Linked DNA regions of Callithrix jacchus. The protein of the gene in region 3 binds, or shares a complex with, the protein of the main gene of each other region. Links are inferred from orthologs where the notes say so. Each region holds a gene or a part of one and is shown on either strand. Other genes may lie near its edges.

Region 1 (4,015 bases), on a different chromosome or scaffold from region 3:
TCTACTCTCTGCTGCCAGACAGAAAAAGCAGGACTAGTTGGGAGAAGCATTCAGCTCAATATAATCTCCTTAACAAAACAACTTTTATTTGTACCTATCACCTTGCACATTACTCTGCATTGGTACATTCCCCCCTCCCCGGGAATAAATAGCTTTCATTAAATCCTCAGCATGGATCACCTGAGGTCAGGAGTTCGAGACCAGCCTGGCCAATATGGTGACACCTCATCTCTACTAAAAATACAAAATTAGCCAGGTACAGTGGTGGGCGCGTCTAATTCCAGCTATTCGGGAGGCTGAGGCTGATTGCTTGAACCTGGGAGGCAGAGGTTACAATGAGCCGAGATCATGCCATTGCACTCCAGTCGGGGCAATAAGAGTGAAACCCCATCTCAAAATAAAATAAAATAAAACAAAACCTCAGGATGATCATGAGACACTAAAAAGTTAAACCCTATTGTCTTGGAACAAAGTATCTATCTTTTCCTATCATTCCATTAGGTCAGAAGTTGTTTCTGTTTCAGTTAGTACTAAATATCCTGATTATTAAATATAATACCTGCTTAATAAATTATTGGATCAATTAATATTTATGTTTTCACACAGTTTCCATCAGAGTGTACTTTATTTATTTTTTAAATAATTTAAATAGAAATGGGGTTTTGCCATGTTGTCTAGGCTGGTCTTAAACTCCTGAGTACAGGTGATGGGCCTGCTTTAGCCTCCCCAAGTGCTGGGATTACAGGCATGAGCCATCGTGCCTGGCCCAGAGTGTACTTTAAAATATTTTCATTTTATTATGTGTATGATGTTTACATTTGCCATGATAAACATCTATAATTGCTACATAATATTCCACTGTTCTGATGGGCCATAGTTTATTGAATCAATTATGTTAGGTAATTTCCATTTTTGACAAAATTTTATCAAGTCATATTACTGACGTGGCTTTTTTTTTTTTTTTGAGTCAGAGTCTTGCTCTGTCACCAGGCTGGAGTGCATGATCTCAGCTCACTGCAACCTCTGCCTCCCGGGTTCAAGTGATTCTGTTGCCTCAGCCTCCCGAGTAGCTGGGACTACAGGTGTGCGCCATCATGCCTGGCTAATTTTTGAACTTTTAGTAGAGACAAGATTTCACTATATTGGCCAGGATGGTCTCAATCTCTTGACCTCCGGATCCTCCTGCCTCAGCCTCTCAAAGTGCTGGGATTACAGGTGTGAGCCACCTTGCCTGGCCGTGGCTTCTTTTTTAATTAGTGGGCATGCACCCAAAAGCCGTTCCACTGAGTAAGAAAAAAATATATTTACCTACCTGTCCCAGTCCCTACTACATACATATACCCTTCTGACTAGGAAGGCACCATTACATAGTCAAAGGCACAAAGGCTTTAGAGACAGCCTTGAGTTTGAACCCTAAGCATACTTTTTGTGTGTGTATGTGCACATGCTTCTTTGATAGAAGGACTAGCTATACCTTTTATGAGTTAAATGTCCTTTGGCAAGTGATAAGTTACTTCCCTTAACACTTTTCCTGGAGCAGAGCTTCCAAATGGTATGCAGAAGAATAGAGAGATGCCATATACTGAATCTCTCAGCTTTCGGCTGGTTTCAGGAAGAATATGCAAGCAGTCATTTATTCTAATGCATCACCCCGTAAAAGATATCAAGAAGCACTGTCTACAGGAAGCTTCTAAAATCTGAAATCTATGAACTACCTGAAACTAAAATTTTGTGCATAGGTGCATTTTTTCCCCTCTGAAGATAAAGAGCTTTCATTAGGTCCTCAGAAAAAAATACGAAATCCCCTAAAAGGTTAAAAACTACTGTCCTGAGACAATGTATCATCTTTCCAACTCCTTTTTTCATTTGGTAGTCCTGATATATCTAGTGAAGAGCTTAAAATTATATTTAAAGATAAAATGTAGGACATATGCATGACAGTATACAAGACAGGCTTTACTTATATGTCACTGGAATTGTGATGCAGACTCATCACATTAAGTAGAAGCAGAATCATTTACAAGTTCTGTAAATGTGTGGGTTTACTGCATGGTACTATCACCTCATCAAGAAAATCCATTAAGTCTTTATTAAATCTTTTTATAAATATTAAAAATGTATTAATTTCCTAGAAAGTAAATGCCTAGAAGAATCCTTAAAAACTTGTAGAAGCTTAACAGTCACCTATCCAAAGTCCCCCAAGATATTGTGAATTAAAATTGACATGAAAGGCTGGGTACAGTAGCTGATGCTTGTAATCTAGCACTCTGGGAGGCTAAGGCAGGAGGATCTCTTGAGCCCAGGAGTAAGAGACCAGCCTGGATAATAAAGGGAGACCCCGCCTCTACAAAATATTTTAAAAATTAGATGGGCATGGTGGTATGTGCCTTTAGTTTACGCTACTTGGGAGGCTGAGGTGGGAGGATCACTTGAGCCCAGGAGGTTGAGGCTGCAGCAAGCTGTGATTGTGCAACTGCACTTCACCCTGGGAGATACAGCAAGACCCTGTCTCAAAAAAAAAAAAAACTGTCATGAAAATCTATACTTTTCAGGCTACTAATGTAATGGAATTGCTACTATTAATGGTATATTGAAAAGAATGAAAATAACACTGAATAGGAAGTGAATCTTTAAAGACTGCAAGTAAATGTAGTTTCTTTCAATCAAGTATATATTGTACAACTTAAAACTGAGAAACTTACATACCATGGTCACATTACTATCCAACTGTTGTGATTTCCAGTGACTTCTATGTTTGTTCACATTCTAAAGGAAGAAAAGTTATACGTTAGTACTCTTCAAAAAATGGGTAACTGAAAAGAAATCAGTTTCTGCACAAAATTTTAACCATCTAAAACTTGGAAAATGGGAAGGGTGGGAGGGGGTGAAGTATAAAAGTCTACTTATTGGGTAAAGAGTACACTGCTTGGGTGATGAGTGCACCAAAAGCTCAGAAATCACTACAAAAGAACTCAACCATGTAACCAAAACTCACCTGTTCCCCAAAACTATTGAAATAAACAAAATAAATAAAACTTATACAATGTTTCAAACTGTATTATGTCTAACAATTATAATAACTTGGTAATTCATGAATATTCTGTATACTTTAGGATCATAAATTTTATTTTTCTATCTACAGTCTAGGAATAGAAATAAATCCAACAGGGGCTTAATTAGATTAAATATGACACTTTACCTGTCGAACAGTTGAAAACTGTGCCACTTGTTGCTGTTGCCACTGAAGTGTTGGTGAATAACCTTCAGGGGCGGGTTGGCATCCTGAAAGCTAGAGATCAGGTCACAAATACTAGGATTAATATTAGTGTCAAAACTAGAATCTCATGCTTTTGCAAAGCAAAAGTAAAACCAAGATAAAGTGTATAATAAAGGTTAGACAAGAAAAATAAAATACAGCCGGGTGCAGTGGCTGATGCCTGTATTCCATCACTTTGGGAGGCTGAGGCAAGTGGATCGCCTGAGGTCAGGAGTTTGAGACTAGTCTGGCCAACATAGTGAAACCCCGTCTCTACAAAAAGTTAGCTGGTATAGTGGCGGGTGCCTATAATCCCAGCTACTAGGGAGGCTGAGGCAGGAGAATTGTTTGAACCCAGCAGGTGGAGGCTGCAGTGAACTGAGATCATGCCACTTCACGCAGCCTGGGCAACAAGAGCAAAATTCCGTTGCAAAAAAAAAAAAAAAAGAAAGAAAGAAAATATTTCTTACAGATGTAAAAAAGTAGACATTTCACTTTTCTATTTATTTATATCCCAGTTAAAAACATTAGGGAAAGAGCCTTAGTCAATTTAATAAGAGAAATCTGGAAAGGCTTATACTTGGAGTTTCTTTTTTTTTGAGACAGAGTTTCACTCTTGTTACCCAGGCTGGAGTGCAATGGCACGATCTCGGCTCACCGCACCCTCCACCTCCTGGGTTCAGGCAATTCTCCTGCCTCAGCCTCCTGAGTAGCTGGGATTACAGGCACGCACCACCATGCCCAGCTAATTTTTTATAT
Region 2 (3,287 bases), on a different chromosome or scaffold from region 3:
CCACTCTCAGAGATTGATTTAAATGGCTGAAACCACTGCTTTAATATTTTGTATCTACAGTGACATAAAATGTTCATTGTTTAAGCAAGTCTTAACAGTATCAAAGCAAATAAAAATGTGAGCCAAATTCAATTATTTCAACAGAGAACCGTAGAAAAACACGTCAAAAAACTAAAAGGTGAAAAAAAAATTACTATTGTTCCCACAAATAATTCTCCATTTAGTTAGTCCTGTAACCAAATCGTCTCTTAGAACAGTTTTTTTTTTAAAAAATAACCTTACCTCTTTAAGTTTATTCCGAATTAAATTTGCCGTTGTATTCAATGAGTCATCATGCATATCCACTTTAGATATGTCTGGTAACAGAGGTCCAATCATAACCTCATTACTACTTGGGTTTGTTTCAAGAAAAGTTCCAAGTTTACGATCATCTTCTCGTCTTCTTTTGCGCTCCTGCAGTTGTGTTGTCCTAGGCATAAATCTGTCAACTGCCTCTGAAGGAATAATAGCCTTTCGTGCACCCTGGCAGTCTACTGAGTTTTTGAAAGGGTTTATCTGTGTTTTCTGCAAAGAGTCACTGTGGTTATAATGCTCCATTGTTTTATCATGGTTTCTACCATACTCAGAGGAGTTTGATGCTCTATCTACATGCTTCCCAGATGAACACATACATTTTGAGGAGAAATAACATAAAGGCAATTCACAGGAATATGGAAGATAAGGATATGAGTTCCCTGCAGAAGTGTTCAGAGCAGTTGTACAAAATCCAGACATCTCTGAGTGGAAGTCTTGTCTAAAATCCTCTGTGTCTTTATGCTCTGTAACCAATTTCTTCTTTGTCACATAATGGTCTTTTTATTACAATTTAAAAGGTGAGAGAAAGGAAAACAGAGGTAGTTTATTGTTTGCATCATTCAGAATCATATAATTTTAAAAATCACTTAAAAATGGTAACAAATTCTACACCAAAAAATCTATTTCTTGAGAAGGGAATATATTCATGTGGTTTAAAACCTAAAATGGATAAAAAGATATGTAGCATCAAGTGTCACCCTTTCCTTGCTCTCCATGGGCCTGGTTTCATCCCATAAGTAAGCGCTATTGTTCTTTATTTATCTGTTCAATATGCCTTACTTTGCTTCCTCCTACCTCCCATTCTTTTTCTCCCCACTAAAAAAGGTAACCTGTAATATGTACTTCTTCTGCACCTCTGTATTTTCCACTTCACTGTAGATCTTATATAGTTTTTCCATATCATTATATACAATCCTTTTTTTTTGCAATTTCAGAGTATTCCAGTCATGCTGCCTAGCCTGTGTTTGTTAGTTATTAAAGAAAGCAATATGTGTGGCTTACTTCTAGGGCTGGAAAGGACCTCTTCCCTGGTTTACTCTCCCAAAAGCAGACTAAAACATCAGTGGGGTGCGGAAGATGTGGTAAAGATGAAATTGGCTATCTGTTGATGATAGTTAATGTTAATACACGGGAGGTATGTTATCTTAGTTTTTCTACCTGTGTGTTTTGAAATTTCATTAATAGAAGTTTTTGAAAAGACCAAATATACAATTATGTGTAGATGCTAGAATGCTGCAGATAAAATAGAGCTTAACTAAAGTGTTCAAGGCCAAAAAAGTCATAGTTTAACAACAATGAATCTAATTCCGAGGGGGCAGGGCAAAAAGGTCTTAAGGGTAAGGGGAGCAAATAATGAAGATAATGCTAGGCCACCACTAACATTGAGATGATTAAAGCAGTTTAAAAGTAAGCTCTGGACAGGGAGTCCAAAGCTTGGGTTTTAATCCTTATTTTTGTCCTTAATTTATCTCTAGTAATATAGGCCAGTCACAAACTCTGAGACTCAGCTTCCTCACCAAGAAGTAGGACACAGGTCAGATAATGTCAAAGGTCTTCCTCCACACTAATATTTTATAATTTCCTTTCCGTTTTCTATTTTTTTTTTTTTTTTGTATATTTTATAATTTCCTTTGCCACACAAATATACAAATTTTCCTGGTGCTATTTACATATCTTACAAATTAATGTCTACAAATGACTGGGGATTCTCAACAGCTCTCTTGCCAGATTTCTGAGTAAGTTTTCCAAGAGTTTTCTCACTTTATTTCTCTCTACCACTATCTGGTAGAAGGGGCATGTGGGGCATTTATGCGGTTGCTTGGTCAAAAGTAGAACTTCTCCACGATTAGCAGTGACAATTAGTCTGCAAATCACAACTGCCCACTGCATTCTGGTCAAAGCCTTAATTCCTTAGCAGGGACACAAGGCCCTTCGTGATTTACTTCCTATCCACTATTCTAAACTTATCTGTCACTGAAACCTCTGGGCTTTGATTATATTGTATGAGTTAAAGTTTCTTAAATACATGATGCTCATTTATTCCTCTAAGCATTTAAACATCCTGCCTGGCTTGCCTTTCCATCTTTTCCTCTCCCTTCTAAGTAATGTCTACTTATCCTTCAAAATTCAGCCACTTCTAACAGACTGGATGAAGTCTTCTATGAACCAATATTTCTCCCTTCTCAACCCAGATTATGTAGTACGCTGCAGAGAACTCTGTGGTTTACACTTACTGAATACTGTGATGATTTACTTGCCTCTCTTCCCACTAGACTGGGAACTGCATGATGACACACTTGGCAGAGTGCCTGACACACAGAAGGCATTTAGCAATATGCTTTCCATACCTCTATTTTTAGTAGTTCTTACTACATATGCCTTTCGCACTGCTAGTTTTTTTCTAGTTTCTTCAACTGTTTCAAATTCTGGAGCATAGCACACATGAAGCAATCCACCGAAAAAACTCTGTTCATCCATTTTTCTCTTGGCTGTCCTGAATGGAAATACAAGATAGCATGGTTTTTTTAAATCCAGATTTACTTACAAATGAGAGCTTAACTAGTATACAATACCTGGAGCTAAAGCCAAAGTCCAGCTTTTGCAATGTGTATGTATATATCCTGTGGACTGGGAATCAAGATGCTCTGTTTGTGGATGGTATTCATACCACCCATCCAGTATGTACTCTTAGAGCCTTCTCTTCCCTTTAAACCTCTTGGATTTGTTCCCTAGTCTTTAAGCAACTAAGGACCCAGCTGGTTGGCCTGAGGTATGTAAACTCTGGTCATAAAATAGAGCTTTTCTGTGGCCCTGAAGAGTTAGTTCATATCCAATTAAGCTTTTTCAGCACAATGTATTTCTGTAATGGGATTTATGCCTTAAAAATCAGATGAAAAATACTATAATCATAATACCTTCAATAACTGAGGAAA
Region 3 (4,811 bases):
GAGAAATCCACTGAAGTTTAGGGTGAATACCTTCTGATAACCTGTTTGGTAAAAACTACACTGAAAATCACTGTCTTGTCAGTGTTCAACATTTATGTGAATAATAATATTTAACGTCTACTGAGCCTTTACAAGGCCAAGCCCCAGCCAGGCTGAGATGGTTCCGTTTTTGAAGCTGCATTCCTGCCCAGGAAACAATGGCCCTCAGTGGTTCAGACACTGCTTAAAACCGGCGATAGAGGCAAGTTCGAATGCAGTCCCTCTCCAAAGTCTTACCCACTGCTCCACAATGCCTCAATACCAAACATTTCACACTCAATTCCAAATCCATCTCTTCAGGGCTGCAAAAAAGCCTCACTTCCCAAAGGGCGAGTTCTCCAAACACTGCATTTAGCATTTCGGATCCGGGTGAGTTGAACTCACTAGGATTACGAGAAAAACTAGTGAAATTCAGATACGACCATTAACATCGAAAGTTTTAATCCGTGAAATACTGCTTACGCCCTTAAGTAATTTCAAATGCACATAAGATGGCCATGCGGGTCTCTGCTGGAGATGCAAAAGAAAGGTGAGCAAACTTAATCAATTATGGCTTTCAGATTTTAGTTAATGGAGGAAATAGCAAGTTTCCACTTGTCATAATTACAGGCATCACTATCATTCTATCATTATTCTAGCACTAATGAAAGACCTCAAGAACATATAAAGCAGCAGTAAAGGGTGCTAAGAAATGACAGTGTGGTCACGTCAACTTGCCCCATGTTACATCCAGGGTGTCAGGGTTCAAACCAGGTCTGTCTGGCTCTAGAACAATTGTTCTCTGCTACCTCCAAATCCTGTGTATATGTTTTCACTAAACTATTTTGTTGTTTATAGATCTGAATTGGAAGCTGTTGAGTACCCTGAACTTAGCAACTAACTGATATAAAGGTATCCCTTATAGAAATCTCAAACTAATTCTTCATTCCTTTCAGGAAGAAGAGTCTTAAGAATATGCATTATAAAACATGTTTCAATAAAGTTATTGAAAAAGAAAAAGAAAGGTGGGAAGTTGGCGGGGGGGCATAACACTGTATACTAGACGCAACCTGACATCGTTTGAAAGAAATTCTGTCCCCTACTCCCTTCGGTGAGATTCGCCGTCCCTAATCTAGTCTGGCTACCCCACACTCCCGATTCCTTTAAAAGGGGTTGAAATGGATGTTGCATTAAAGAAAACCCTCCTGCAGAAAGGACCTGAGGCAGAGACTCCCCTGAATTCTGGAACATGTTGGAAGAGTGAGAAAGGAACTCTGGGACTCCGAACTTATTCTCACGGGTGTAAAAGGACAGAGTAAATCCCCATTAGCCAAGCTGGGGAGAAGTCACATCCGCACATTCTAAAGGGCACACAGCCTCTCCCGGACCGTCCCTAGAAGAGGGGCAGCACATTTAGAAACACTGGCGGGCCTCTAGTCCTTGGCTGCCTCGCGGCGACCCTCAGAGCGGGTTTCCCAAGGCTCAAGCTCCTCTGGCAAGGCGCAAATCGACACCACTGCTGGTTGCTAGGAGATACTGCCCCGCCACCTCCTCCAATCAGCACGCATCTCTTTGCGTCCAATCACAAAGGCCAGAAGGGCCGTGGTGGGAGGTGAAAGGTCATACTCTTGTTTGGCGGCCATTTCTCTTGAAGCTCGGCGGTTCGGGACTTCGGGATCGGCTGGAGTCACGAGGGACGAGCGGCGGCCTGGTTGGCAGCGAATAGCCTGCAGCATTCGCCCGTGGTTACGATGGTAAGGAGAAAGAGAACCGGGGGAGAAGCGGGGAGAAAGAGGAGGGAAACCAGTCTCGCGGGGCCTGATGGTTGCTTCGCGCGTTTCTCATTCATCCGCGTGAGGCGCCGCGCACCCGGTCGCCAGCTCCTTTCACGCTGCCCTTGGGGTTTCTGAGGCGCGTGCTCCTCCCGTTGCCTTTCTGTTTCTAGGAGTGCCCGTGCTGTCTCCTCTTTGTTTGAATCCGAGCCTGGGGTATTTTTGGTTGGGGCTTCAGGGTCGGCGTAAAACTGAAAGAGAGTGCACTTCTCACTTCTCTCCAAAATTCACTTTAATTCCTTGAAAGTAATATTACAGCCATGCTCTAGATTAACTCAGTCGGGTGGGGAAGACAGACCTTAGTCAAAAACCAACAAATATGCAATTGCAAATAACAAGTGCTAAGAAGCATGTAGACCGGAGGCTGTGAGGGTGCACGTTAGACATTACAGGCTTAGTCAGAGATGGCCTCCCTAGGAGGTGGAATTTAACCAGAGACCTAAGTGTCCTGAAATACCACCCTTTAAAGAGCAGGAGGAGTGTACCGAGCACAGGGAATAGGAGCGTAAGACCTGCAGCCGGAAAGAAAGCTTGGTCAGTTGGAGAAATTGACAGAAAGGTACAGCCACTTGCAAGAATGGTGGCTTCTAATTCAATTAGAAGCCATTGAATCATTTTAAGCAGACATATGACATAATTTTATGTGCACTTTGAAAAATAACAGTTGCCGTGGTGGATAATAAATTGGAGAATGTAAACTGGAGATCCATTAGGTTATTGGAGTAGCACCATGCCAAGATCACTCCCAATATGCTTATCTTAGTTTAGTAGCCAAGTTTCTTAGTTCTGTTTTTTCTTTGACTGGTGAGTGAGCAGATTAGGGCCCAAAAAAGTCTGAATTCACTGGAGATGCTAATGGTTTGTTGAATAAACAAACATTAAGTGATTGCTGTAAAGTCAGATAGGACCTAGCCCTACCTTCCACAGTTAAAGACTGTCAAGTGTGATCTGCCCTCTGCTTCCTTCTGCAGTCTTATATTAGGGGCTTTGACTGACAATGCTGAATTCTTTGTATATCCCCAAAATCATGTTGTTCTCTTCCCTCCTTTTACTTAAGTTGCTACCCTTGCCTGGAGCAGCATCTGCCCCCCCCCCGGAAATAAACTCTTATCCTTTAAAACTGAGATATTACTTAAGGCAACCTTTCCTTTTCTGTGGATTGCTGTGGTACCCTTGTGCCTAGCATATCTCCTCTTACTACATTGCAGTATGCAATATAATTATTTGTATGTGAGGAGCTCCCCTCCCTATCTCCAGCTTCTTGACAGGGACTGTTACTTGTTTATTTATTTTTAAGAGACAAAGTGTTGCTCTTGCCCAGGCTGGAGTGCAGTGGCTTGATCATAGCTCACTGCAGCCTTGAACTCCTGGGTTCAAGCAGTTCCCCCACCTTATCCTCCCTAGTAGCTGGGACTACAAGTGTGTACCATCACACCTAATTATTTTTGGTAGGAATTGGGGGGGGTCTCCCTATGTTGCCTGGGTTGGTCTTGAACTCCTGGCTTCAGGTGATTTCCGTGCCTTGGCCTTCCAGAGTGCTGGAATTACAGACACGTGCCTGGCCAGCATTTTTTTTTTTTTAGTGGCTTTATCTTTGCTTCTTTCAAGCTCAGAACAGTGAGTGATGTAGGTAGTCAGTGTTATCTTAAGTGAATAGTGAGTATTTTGTTTTGATGGGTTAAAGGTGAAACTGGCTAACTGGATATTTAAATTTCCCTGGTACTCATCTTCAACAAATAAAAGTGAAAATTATGTTTTCTTCATTTGCACACCAGAAAATATTGGTGATTTGGTAGAAGGGATTTGGTGGTGGGAGGAAAAGAATTAATTGGATCCTTTTTTGTTCTTTGTGCAGAGTTTACCCCTTAATCCCAAACCTTTCCTCAATGGACTAACAGGAAAGCCAGTGATGGTGAAACTTAAGTGGGGGATGGAGTACAAGGGCTACCTGGTATCTGTAGATGGCTACATGAACATGCAGGTAAGCTGTAAAGGTTATAACATGGCATTGATTTTGCTTCACCTTATTCCTCAAAGGTTTAGTCTGACTAATAAGAATACATACAATTAAGTTGACAAATATATGGCAAAATTCAAAAATAAAGTCAAGGCCAGAGAGGATACCGTGATGTACTAGGTACAAGACATGGGCTTAAACCGGAATTCAGCCACAGATTTTATTCCTAGGAGTTAAAGTAAGAAGAGCTCAGACGTTCAATTCATAATAATACCATAAGGGAAACACGCTACTTTGCTGGAGAAAACAAAACTTTTACCATCATTTAGCCCTGAAAGAAAGTTTTCAAGTGAAATTTTTGAGTCTTTTAATGAATGCTAAAGGTACAACACCAAGCTATTAAAGAAATTCATTCCTTCAAGGGAAAGACAGATCTGCCAAAGGAATTGAACTGACTGTATGTCAGTTTCTGTAAATGATTTAGCCATGTGTTTTGGTAGGGTTTTTTGTAATTTTCTTTTTATTGTGGTCAAACATACATTAAAATTTTACCATTCTAACCATTTTTAAATGTGTAATTCAGTGGCATTAAGTATCTTCACACTGTTCTGCAACCATCACCACTATCCATTTCCAGAACTTTTTTTATCATCCCAAAGTGAAATTCTTTGCCCATTAAACAATAATTTTCCATTCCTTTCTCTACCTAACTAACCCCTGGTAACCACTATTCTACGTGTCTATGAACTGTGCATAATACCTCATATAAGTGGAATCGTATATTTATCCTTTTGTGTCTGGCTTGTTTTACTTAGCGTAGTGTTTTATTCAAGGTTCATCCATGTTGTAGCATGTGTCAGAATTCCATTCCTTTTTTAATTGAATAATATTTCATTATATGGATATACCACCTTCTGTTCCATTTGCCTCTTGGTGGATGCTGGGTTGCTTCCCTCTTTGGACTGTAGTAAATAATGCTGCTGTGAAGACGATTGTACAAATAT

What was found. Proteins that work in one complex are often made in the same cells at the same time.
Region 1: SNRPF (region 3) and GEMIN2 share a complex: the UniProt entries of both Homo sapiens proteins name them as parts of the SMN-Sm complex. The link is inferred for Callithrix jacchus from reciprocal best matches to the Homo sapiens genes SNRPF and GEMIN2.
Region 2: SNRPF (region 3) and RBM48 share a complex: the UniProt entries of both Homo sapiens proteins name them as parts of the minor spliceosome. The link is inferred for Callithrix jacchus from reciprocal best matches to the Homo sapiens genes SNRPF and RBM48.

What each region holds. Positions count from the first base shown.
Region 1 is NC_133509.1:73,782,770-73,786,784, reverse strand, and holds part of GEMIN2 (gem-associated protein 2), read right to left. Parts: intron 3,290-4,015; coding exon 3,200-3,289; intron 2,767-3,199; coding exon 2,707-2,766; intron 1-2,706. UniProt on the Homo sapiens protein: The SMN complex catalyzes the assembly of small nuclear ribonucleoproteins (snRNPs), the building blocks of the spliceosome, and thereby plays an important role in the splicing of cellular pre-mRNAs.
Region 2 is NC_133512.1:57,087,095-57,090,381, forward strand, and holds part of RBM48 (RNA-binding protein 48), read right to left. Parts: intron 2,849-3,287; coding exon 2,703-2,848; intron 852-2,702; coding exon 283-851; intron 1-282. UniProt on the Homo sapiens protein: As a component of the minor spliceosome, involved in the splicing of U12-type introns in pre-mRNAs.
Region 3 is NC_133510.1:98,938,777-98,943,587, forward strand, and holds the start of SNRPF (small nuclear ribonucleoprotein F), read left to right. Parts: upstream 1-1,640; 5' UTR 1,641-1,769; coding exon 1,770-1,772; intron 1,773-3,705; coding exon 3,706-3,831; intron 3,832-4,811. UniProt on the Homo sapiens protein: Plays a role in pre-mRNA splicing as a core component of the spliceosomal U1, U2, U4 and U5 small nuclear ribonucleoproteins (snRNPs), the building blocks of the spliceosome.